Stegostoma tigrinum: one gene and its partner. The protein of the gene in region 1 binds, or shares a complex with, the protein of each later gene. Links are inferred from orthologs where the notes say so. Each region holds a gene or a part of one and is shown on either strand. Other genes may lie near its edges.

Evidence for each region.
Region 2: psmc3 (region 1) and adrm1 share a complex: the UniProt entries of both Homo sapiens proteins name them as parts of the 19S proteasome regulatory particle complex. The link is inferred for Stegostoma tigrinum from reciprocal best matches to the Homo sapiens genes PSMC3 and ADRM1.

The regions. Positions count from the first base shown.
Region 1 is NC_081370.1:11,567,046-11,572,782, forward strand, and holds the start of psmc3 (26S proteasome regulatory subunit 6A), read right to left. Parts: upstream 3,692-5,737; 5' UTR 3,500-3,691; coding exon 3,392-3,499; intron 1-3,391.
Region 2 is NC_081372.1:18,364,466-18,370,202, reverse strand, and holds the start of adrm1 (proteasomal ubiquitin receptor ADRM1), read right to left. Parts: upstream 3,686-5,737; 5' UTR 3,552-3,685; coding exon 3,339-3,551; intron 1-3,338. UniProt on the Homo sapiens protein: Component of the 26S proteasome, a multiprotein complex involved in the ATP-dependent degradation of ubiquitinated proteins.

The sequences.
Region 1 (5,737 bases):
AACATTGGAGATGGGGTTAAGGTGAGGCTTGGAATTAAGACCTCAAACAATCACGGCCTCTTAACACCCTCATTCCCTAAACTCATGCTCCATTTTCACTCTCAGTTCCTCTACTTCCACCCACCAACTCACTTTGATCAACTTGCCTATTTCACCATTCAATAAGATCGTGCCTGATCAGTTTGAGGTTTACATTCCTTATTCCCATCTACCCCCAATAACCTTTGATTCCCCCTGCCAAACAAGAATTCATCCACCTCAGTCTTTAAAATAAACACTGGAACTCTGCCTCAGAGGCAGCAAAGTTTCACAACTCTAAGAGAACAATTCTCCTCATTTCTGCCCTGAAAAGGTGACCCCTCACTTTGAAAGAGTGACCCCTGGTTTGGAATTCACCCAAACAGGGAAACATCCTTTCCCACATCAACATTGATAAGGTCCAGAATGGTTTTATATACTTCAATCAAATCACCCCTCGCTCTTCTAAACCTCAGTGGAAACAAGCCCAGACTGCCCAAACTTTCCTCATAAGACCACCCACTGATTTCAGATATCAATCGAGTGAAACTTCTCTGAACCACCTCCAAAACATTTACATCCTTCTTTAAATAAAAAAAACTAAAACTGCGCAGAGTATTCAAGACATAGTCACAACAATGTCCTGTATAACTGAATCACATCCTTACTTTAATATTAAATTCCTGTTGTAAGAAAAAGATAACATCCCACTAACCCTTTTAGAACACAGAACAGTACAGCAGAGGGACAGGCCCCTCGACCCACATGCTGTGCCAGACCTGATGCTAAATTAAACTAATCCCTTCTGCCTACCCATGGTCCATATCCCTCCATTCTTTGCATATTCATGTGCTTATCTAAAAGCCCCTTAAAACACCCCTACTGTATCTGCCTCCACCACTGTCCCTGGCAGAACGTTCCAGGCATATATTACACTGCAAAAAAAAACTTGCCCCTCAAATCTCCTTTGAAATTTCTCCCTCTTGTCTTAATTGCATGCCCTCTCATATTAGACATTTCAACTCTGGGAAAAAGATTCTGACTGTTAAACCTATTCATGCACAGCATAATTTTATATTCATCTATCAGGTCTCCCCTCAGCCTCCACCACTCCAGAAAAAACAACCCGAGTTTGTTCAGCATCTCCTTATAGCTCACACCATCTAATCTAAGCAATATCCTGCGAAACAGCACCCTCTGCAAAGCCTCACATTCTTTCTGTACTGTGACAACCAGAATTGAATGCAATACTCCAGGTGCAGGCTAACAAAGTTTTGCAAAGCTGCAACATGACATCCTAACTCTTGTACTCAATGTTCTGACCAATAAAACCAAGTATGTCATAAGCCTTCTTTACCACCCTATCTACTTGTGGGGCCACTTACAGGGAGCTATGAACTGGGACTCCAAGATCTCTCTGTACATCAATGCTGTTAAGGATCCTACCATTAACTACATACTTTCCCTGAAAATTTGATCTCCCAAAGTGCAATACTTCACACTTCCCTGGATTAAACCATCTATTTCCCCACCCATTTCTGCAACTGATCTATCTCCTGCAGTTTCCTCAGAGAACCTACTCCACTATCAACAACTCCCCCGATGTTTTATTTGCAAACTTATTAACCTAAGCACCTACGTTTTCAAAGTATACTTTGAAAGTATACTGAGCTATACTTATATATATCACAAACAGCAGAGGTCCCAGTACAGTTCCCTGCAGAACACCCACTAGTCAGACTTCTTGCCAGAAAAACAGCCTTCCACCACTGACTTGTGCATGGAAGACAAAGGGCAATTTGGAATCCAAATGGCCACATCGCTGTGGATCCTGTGCATCTTAATCTTCTGGATGAGCCTACCATGGGGAACCTTGTCAAAAGCCTTACTAAAATCCACATACATGACATCCACTGTTCTGCTCTACTGTCCCTAATTAGGCAAAATGCACCCAAATCCCATCCCTAAGGATCTTCTCCAACAGGTTGCCAACCACTAATGCGAGACTCACCAGTCTATAATTTCTTGGATTATCCCTACTTGAACAGAGGAACACTAACTACTGGCCAGTCCTCTTGATGACATACTGTACCTTAATACTATTTTTTTGTGACTCACTCACACTTACTAGAACACCTAAATCCCTCTACACCACGGACATCTGCAGTCATTCTCCAAATGATCAAAATTGATTTTTTTTCCCCATTCTTCCTGCCAAGGTGAAGCACTTCATACTTTCCCACATTATACTCCATGTGCCAGATTTTTGCCCACTCACTCATCTGTCTGTATCCATTTGAAAACTCTCTTTGTTCTCTTCACAACATACTTCCTATTTATATATTAACAGGAATTTAATTATCATGGCCCTTCACTCCCCTCATCTTAGTCACTGATGTAAAGTCTAAGAAGTTGAGGTCTCAGCACACACCCGTGGGGCTTCACTCGTCGTATCCTGCGATTAGACAAAAACCCATTCATAAATGCTCTTTCAAAAATCAGCCAGTTGATCCTCGATCCATGCTAATATGTTATCCCCTACACATAAGCTTTTGTTTTGTGCTTTGACCTGACATCTTTTCAGTTGTCTTCTGGAAATCTAACTATGTACATCGACAGGTTCCCATTTCTCCACAGCATGTTCCACCTTCAAAAGGATTCCAATAAATTAATCACTCACAATTTCCCTGTCATGAAAACAAAAAAGCCAACTCTTCCAGATTAGCTTGAGTTTAACACCCTCAAGCATATATTCCTGAGGTGATCAATTTTCACAACTGACATAACAAGTAACTCACGCATAGTTTCTAAATCAACCTGTTCAGATATGCTATTACAATCCTCTGGAGTAGGTGGGGCTTGAACGCAGGCCACTCAGATCCAGGGGTAGGGACATTACCACTACACCACAAGAAGGGTCCCAACCCGAAATATCAGCTTTCCTGCTCCTCTGATGCTGCCTGGCCTGCTATGTTCCTCCAGCTCCACACTATCTTTGACTCCAGCATCAGCACTTCTTACTTACCTTTAACCGATAGTTTCCTTCTCTACACCTCCGCCCCCCCCCATCCCCGCTTCCTAAATAATGGATTTATATTTGTTACTTTCCAGTCCAAATGAACCATTCCTGAATCTTGGAGTTTGTCAAAAGTTAACACAAACCATCCCCATACTCCATCTCTGTGCTACACTGGAATCTATTTCTCCCTCACCTCCACCTCATCCTAATGGACCGAGCTAACTTCATACATTTCTCTCTCTTAACTTCACCTCACCTCAGTTGACTTCTCTCCCTCTCCTTTTCTCTCTCTCTCTCAATATTATACAATAATATGACTGTCTACCTTTATATTGTTATATTTCTATATCTCACCTCCACCTCATCCCACACGGACCTCTCGTTCAGAGACGCCATTTTCCGTTCTGCTCTGTGTTTTCGATTCCTGTTCGCACTTTCACCGAACCGGGCTGCACCGTACATGTACAGGCCGATGCTCTCCGCCCTGATGCCGCTGCGATCGTCAATGGCAGTCTCACCCGCGCGACCGACGCCGGCCTCGCCACCTCCTTTTTTTTAAAAAAATTCAAAGGTTTGATCACAACTCCGCGTTGAATCTACCGTTCCCAGCAGTAATTGATTTTAACCTGAGTCCATCACGTGGGCCCCGAAAGTGCTGAGTGTTGTCGTGGTCGCCGCCATCTTTGTTTGGGGCAGCTGCGCGGGTCTTGCTGGGAGTCAAGCGTCCAAACAGACTGCTGCAGCAGTGATAATGGGAACTGCAGATGTTGCAGAATCCAAGACAATAAAATGTGAGGCTGGATGAACACAGCAGGCCCAGCAGCATCTTAGGAGCACAAAAGCTGACGTTTCGGGCCTAGACCCTTCATCAGAAATGGGGACGGGGTGAGGGTTCTGGAATAAATAGGGAGAGGGGGAGAGGGGAGGCGGACCGAAGATGGAGAGAAAAGAAGATAGGTAGAGAGGAGAGTATAGGTGGGGAGGGGATAGGTCAGTCCAGGGAAGACGGACAGGTCAAGGAGGTGGGATGAGGTTAGTAGGTAGGAGATGGAGTTGCGGCTTGGGGTGGGAGGAAAGGATGGGTGAGAGGAAGATCAGGTTAGGGAGGCAGAGACAGGTTGGACTGGTTTTGGGATGCAGTGGGTGGAGGGGAAGAGCTGGGCTGGTTGTGTGGTGCAGTGGGGGGAGGGGACGAACTGGGCTGGTTTAGGGATGCGGTGGGGGAAGGGGAGATTTTGAAGCTGGTGAAGTCCACATTGATACCATTGGGCTGCAGGGTTCCCAAGCGGAATATGAGTTGCTGTTCCTGCACCCTTCGGGTGACATCATTGTGGCACTGCAGGAGGCTCATGATGGACATGTCACCTAAAGAATGGAAGGGGGAGTGGAAATGGTTTGCGACTGGGAGGTGCAGTTGTTTATTGCGAACCGAGCGGAGGTGTTCTGCAAAGCGGTCCCCAAGCCTCCACTTGGTTTCCCCAATGTAGAGGAAGCCACACTGCTGCAGCAGGTTCCTGGGAGAATGCAGGCTGCGAAGTGTTGGCACTGTTGTAATGTAGGAAATCAGCAGCAGATTCAGCACAGCAAGATCCCAACACCAGCAATTACACATGATCTTATTAGCTACAGCATCTGCATATGGTGCTGGTGAGACCAATCCTGGGGTACTGAACCTTTTTGGTCCCCTTACTCAAGGGAAGTTGTGTGATTGGATGCAGTTCAGAGAACATTCACTGGGGTGATGCCTGGTATGGAGGATTGATGAGCAAATGCTAAACAGGTTTGAACTCTACTCACTAGCGTTTAGAAGAATAAGTGTACGATTCTTAAGGGGCTTGACAGGGTCAACGCTAAAAGGATATTTCCCTTCATGGGAGAGTCTAGGACCAGACAGCATAGTCTCAGAACCAAATTAACTTTGAGATGAGGAGCAAATGGTATATTTGATATGAGAATGGGTTATTGGCCTTGAAAAATATTAAATCAGCCAACCCTCCTTCGTTAAAAGATCAAAGAACGTTGATTTTATAGAGCTGGGTGTCTTACATTTTTGTAATGTTTTACAGAGATCCATTAAAAATAGGAACTGCGGTAGGCCATTCAGCCCCTTGAGCCTGCTCTGCCATGCATTAGGATGATGACTGATCTGACATTCCTCTCATCCACTTTCCTGTCTTTTCCCCATAACCCTTGATTCACCCCTACTGATCAAGAATCTATCTCAGCCTTTAATATACACAAGGACTGTACCCCCACAGCTCTCGGTGGCAAAAAGTTCTAAAGATACTCAACTGTCTGAGAAAATAATTTTTTCTTTATCTGTCTTAAATTGTTTTGTTCTGTCAAAGATCATAGAATCCCTACAGTGTGTAAACAGGCTCTTCAGCCCAACAAGTCCACACTGATACTTGGAGCATCCACTCAGACCCATGCTGCTATAATCCACCTAAGGTACACATACCTGAACGCTACAGGCAATTTAGCATGGCCAATCCACCTAATCTGCACATCTTTGAACTGTGGGAGGAAACTGGAGTACCTGGAGAAAACCCAAGCAGACACAGGGAGAATGTGTAAACCCCACACACTGTCACTGAGGGTGGAATTGAACCCAAGTCCCTAACACTGTGAGGCAGCAGAGCTAGCTGCTGAGCACCATGCTGCCCCACTGAGACTGTATCCACTTTGTGTTCTCAAACC
Region 2 (5,737 bases), on another chromosome or scaffold:
TTTAAAGGGCCCTATTGTCTCCCTAGTTTCTCTTTTGCCCTTAATATACTTGTACAAATTTTTCAGATTCTCTTCTACTTTATCTGCCGAAGCTCTCAGGTCCCCTTTTTGCCCTCCTGATCTCTTCTATACTCCCTATACTCAAGGAATTCACTTGATCCCAGCGACTATACCTGGCACATGCCTCCTCATTTTTCTTGTCCAGAGCCTCAATATCTCCAGTCAGAGTGTCCCTACTTCTACCAGCCTTGCCCTTCTCACTAAGAGGAACATGCTGGGCCTGAACTCTCATTATGTCTCTTCTGAAAGCTTCCCACTGGCCAGACATTCCTTTACTTGCCACCCCCAATCAACTTTTGAAAGTTACTGAAAATGCAATTATTCACCTTACTCCAATTTAGAACTTAAACTTATGCATTAGACCTGCCATTTTTCATTATTATTTGAATAATAATACAACGGTCACTGGTTGCAGAGTGCTCCCTCATGAACATCTCAGCCATTTCCCCAAGAGGAGGTTGAGTTTCACTCCTTCTCTAGTAGGGCCATCTATACATTGATTGAGAACGTTTTCCTGAACACTTCAGTTCCTCCCCATCCAAGCCCAAGGTTAACTCAATTAGCTGGACAGCTGGTCTGTAATGCAGAGTGATGCCAACAGCATGGATTCAACTCCCACACTGGCTAAGGTTACCATGAAGGATTCAGATTCTCAACCACTCTTCGCCTTAAGTATAGTAACCTTCAGGTTAAATAACCATCATCTCTCTCTAATGAGACAGCAGCCTTATTGTCTGATATGTTTATAACAGGTTTACTTTTTTTTAAAAAAAGGAGAGTCCTGCTATTCCTGGTAATGTGCTTCTATACTCATTGAAAAATCAGAAGAATGATAGGCAACCTTATTGAAATGTACAAATTTTCTAGGGGATTTGAAAGGGTAAATGTGGAAAAGTTGTTTTACTTCACAGGAGAGAATAGATCCAGGACCATAATCTCAGAGGTTGCACATTTAAGGCAGATAAGGAAGTTCCTTTGAGGGTAGCAAATCTGTGGATTTTTTAAAATTACAGAGGGCAGTCAAGGCTGGACCAAAGTCTATTCTAAGGTAAAATAGATTTATAATCAGTAAGGAAATTGAGGGGTATAGGAAAAGGTGGGAAAACAAAGTTGAGGATTGTCAGCTCAGCCATGATCTCACTGAATGGCAGAATAGATTCGATGGGCTACTTACGCCCTACTTCTGGTGCTTTGTCTTATGGTTTTAGACGAGACGAGAATTCTTTTCACTCAAGCTTGAGCGCCTTTGCATCACTTCCTGAAAGGATAGTGGAAGCAAAGTCCTTGACTATTTTAAAAGCAGAGGTTGACAGACTCTTGTCAAGCAAAGTCATAAATAAGGGTAGGCAGGAATGTCAAATTTGAGATTCTGACCAAATCAGCTGAGATCTTTCGGACGGCAGGGCAGGCCTGAGGGACTGAATGGCCTGCACTTGGGTCTAACTCATGTTCATATGCTAAGACAAAAGAAAAACATGAAATGCTCAAAATTCACAATATATCAGGTCACAACTTTAAATGAGAAATGCAATTAACATTTCAGGCCCTTAAACTTTAAAGTGCATGATGGCTAAAAACAAATTTGGTCTCCTCAGCACAGGCAGCATTTGCGACAAGAATTTCCAATAGCTAATTAACCCAGACATCAAGACCATCTGACCTCTGCAGCTTGACACATTACATGATGCATTAAGTCTGATCAACTAAATTGTTCAATGAATTTATGAGCAACAGAACAAGTTCGTTCAGCCACTTTTGCATTATTGCACGCAGTTCTGGTCTCCCTCCTAATAAGAAGGATATTGTGAAACTTAGAAAAGATTTACAAGGATTTTGCCAGAGTTGGAGGGTTTGAGCAAAAGGGAGAGGCTGAATAGGCAGGGGGCTATATTCCCTGAAGCGTCGAATGCCGAGGAGTGACCTTACACAGGCTTATAAAATCACAACGGGCATGGATAGGGTAAATAGACACGGTCATTGCCCTAGGGTGGGGGAGCTCAAAACTAGGTTTAAGGTGAGGGGGCAAGATATAAAAGGGATCTAAGAGGTAACTTTTTCCACAGAGAACAGTGCATGCTTGGAACAAGCTGCCAAAATGGAGGAGGCTGGTACTAATACAACTTTTAAAAAGGCAACTGAATGGGTATATGGAAAGGAAAGACTTAGAGGGATATGATCCAAATAGTGGCACATGCGAGTAGATTTATACAGGATATCTGGTCAGCATGGACAAGTTGGACTGAAGGGTCTGTTTTCATGTTATATATCTCTGACATTATGACTCTATGAAATGTGAAACTGTGAACATCCTGTCCCATGACTTTGTTTTGTACCTGGCAAAATTGGCAACTTTCCATAAGTAACAAAAACAAGGATATTTGTCATAAGCAATGTCTCCACCCCTAGCAATCACAAACAGCATACAATCTAACCCTGTTCCCCTTTCGTTTAAAGAAAAAGGCCACATACACACACAGTAATTTCAAGGGGGCAACCAGTACCCATGAAGTTTCAAACTACTGCACAGCTCAGAACGTTCTGAGGAAGTGTCACCAGACCTAAAGCATGAACTCTGTTCTTTTCTTCACAGATGCTGCCAGACCTGGTCTTTTCCAGCAACTTGTTTTTGTTCCTGATGTACAGCATCCGCTATTCTTCGGTTATTGTTTAGACAAAACTTTGGTTAGAAACTCCGTTCCAACTGAAACAACTACTACACCATCACCTGCAAATTCCATTCTCACACCAACAGTGTCCCCCCCTCCCCTCCAACTCCCGGTCCCCACCACTGTCTTCACCCAGCCTGCACGACACAAACTAGCCAACTCAACACCCTTTCTACAACCACCCTATCACATAAATAGCCAATTCACCAACCTCTGAACTCTCAACTCCCCATCCGCTCTAAATCCATACACCAACTATCACATTAAGAAAAATTAACCAACTCCTTCACATACGACCTCCAAACAAAAGACACCACCCAAAAAAATGTCCCCCTACACTCAACCCTACAACCCCATAACTCCTTACTTCATCCTCAAACATAAAGCCATTCCTACTCAAAATAATTTGTGATTTAAGCCCTTCTCTCGCGCCCCCCCCCCCCCCCCCCCCACTTCCTTACCCAGCCTCCAGCCTCCTTCCCAACGCATTCACGCACCCCCCCATCCCCCACAGCACCTCATCTCCCCACCGTAACCCCTTCAGTACACTAGACTACCCCTTCCCAATCCCGGCTTTGGGGGAGGAGTGTGAGGACGGGCTTGTTTCCTTACATCCTCCACGGTGCCGGCGGTGCGGTCCTTCCAGCAGAAGTGAATGAGAGAGTCATCAGTCTGCTGGATATAAACCTGCCCCTTGCGCTTGTCCGGAGTCACTGTCGAGCCTTTCAGCGACATCTTGCCGGCTCGGAACTCCACCAGGTATTTACTGGAAGAGCCACGGCTCCCAGCTACCAGGCTGGGGAACAACGCTCCTGAGGCCGACATGACGGAAAATTAGACCAGACACCGCTTCTGCCTCTTTTTCCCTTCCTTTCTTGAATTTAACGTCCACCGAAAGTCAGCACCATGTAACGGCCGCCACAACCTAACCTGAAACCACCCTCCTCAATCCCCATTGATTTACTCAGTCCCCGCCTAGCTTATTCTGGCTCCTGAATGGTTAACCCAACCGTCAATCATCATGACGTAAGCCATCCTTTGTCATGTTTGGTTGAGGCGCAGCTGAGCGGAAGTGCTGTGTCATTGGGCGCTATGTGCTGCCTCCTAAAGCTGTAGAGCGGTATTGCACTTCTCTGACATGTATAGAAGATCCCAGCTCCACTGTACTCAAGGGCTGGATATTTCATTCGCCAGCAGATCAGCTGCTTCAGTCTCAACGACGATATAGTCCTGGAGATAATGGGAACTGCAGATGTTGGAGAATCCAAGACAACAAAGTGTGGAGCTGGATGAACACAGCGGGCCAAGCAGCATCTCAGGAGCTGCTTAGCCTACTGCGTTCATTCAGCTCCACACTTTGTAATCAACGATATAGTACGATCTGCCTGTATAGCACATAAGACGACACTTTTCATTGTACTTTGGTGCACGTGACGGTAATAAATCAAATCAAACAAAGCCATATTCTAAGATAAAAAGGTGTGGAGATGGATAAACACAGCAGGCCAAGCAGCATCAGAGGAGCAAATTTCTGAAGAAGGGTCTAGGCCCAAAATGTCAGCCTTCCTGCTCCTCTGATGCTGCTTGGCCTGCCGTGTTCATCCAGCTCTACACGTAGTTATCTCAGATTCTCCAGCATCTGCAGTTCCTACTACCTTCACAGCCATATTCTAGCCTTAAGGCACAGGAACCAGACAAAAACACACTACAAAAACTAGTCCTTGCCAGTGTTTATACACCACATCGGCTCTGCCCAGCACATCTACACAGCAATGTTGGAGGATTCAACTGAGGTATTCAAAAGAGAATTGGATAATTGGTTGATTTAAAGTAATTTGCAGATCTACAGGGGAAGGGCTTAGGAACTACTCTTCCAGCAAGATGGTAAGCAGATAATGGATGTTGAATTGCCTCCTTTAACACAGTGCACACTTTTTGATTATATGATATTAGGGATGCCCATGACTAAGCAGCACAAAATGGCTGATGGCTGTCCATGGCTAATGCAGCAGAACATGGCTGACAGTAGTTGGAGGTCTTGGGAAAATATTTGCTTAATGTGGTCTTTGCAAGTGGAACAATAGTAGCTCTGTAGACTCATGATTACTGGACTCGGATAGAATATGCAGCTGCAGTTGCTCATGCACAAGACATAGAACGTTTCACACTAATTAGTTGTTTCTCTTGAATTATGAAATCATTCTGTGATAATACTAAGAGTAGGTTTTAGTTAAGATTCCTCAAATAATCATATAGATTCCAAAGCAATTATAGATTCACCTATCTACAAAAAAAAATCACTAAAAGCATTACAAGCTCCTAAGATGCTGCAAGACCAGCTGTGTTCATCCAGCTCAACACTTTGTTATCTAGAAGAAAAGATTCAAACAAGTTTCAGACAGTAAAGCAGCACCACCCCTCCACCCCCTCCCCATATCATTCCAGGGAGAAATGAATCAAAGGTACAGACATTAGCAGACACTGGAATGTGGATTGAATCAACACATTAAGACACAACTTGTTGGCTAAACAATTCTAATATTAGGTGTAACACATAACTTGGTTTGAAATGTTCAAAAATCAACATTCTTTTTATTTCCTGTAATGAGGAGCTTAAAAGCTCCTGAAGTGACAGGCAAATATCCAATTAATTGGCAGTTAACATGGAGCAGCTGGCAAATGTTACTTGAATACAACGTCCATTCTGAAAAGCTTCAAGAAGGAAGATAAAGTCTGGGAAACATCATGAAGGAGCGGGGGTGGACCACAAGCCTGTCCTTCTCTTTGTTACTCAGTGATCATACGACACCAGGTTATAGTCCAACAGGTTTATTCAAAAACGTAAGTTTTTGGAGTTCTTACTCCTTCTTCAGGTGTTAGTGAGAGAGGTAGTATCAGGCACGGAATTTATAAGTAAAAGATGAAAGGATCACACCATTGATGAGGATGTACTAAACAAACCTAAGATGCTGTTAAATCTTTAATCAATTCGAAGGTTTTAATTGATTAAT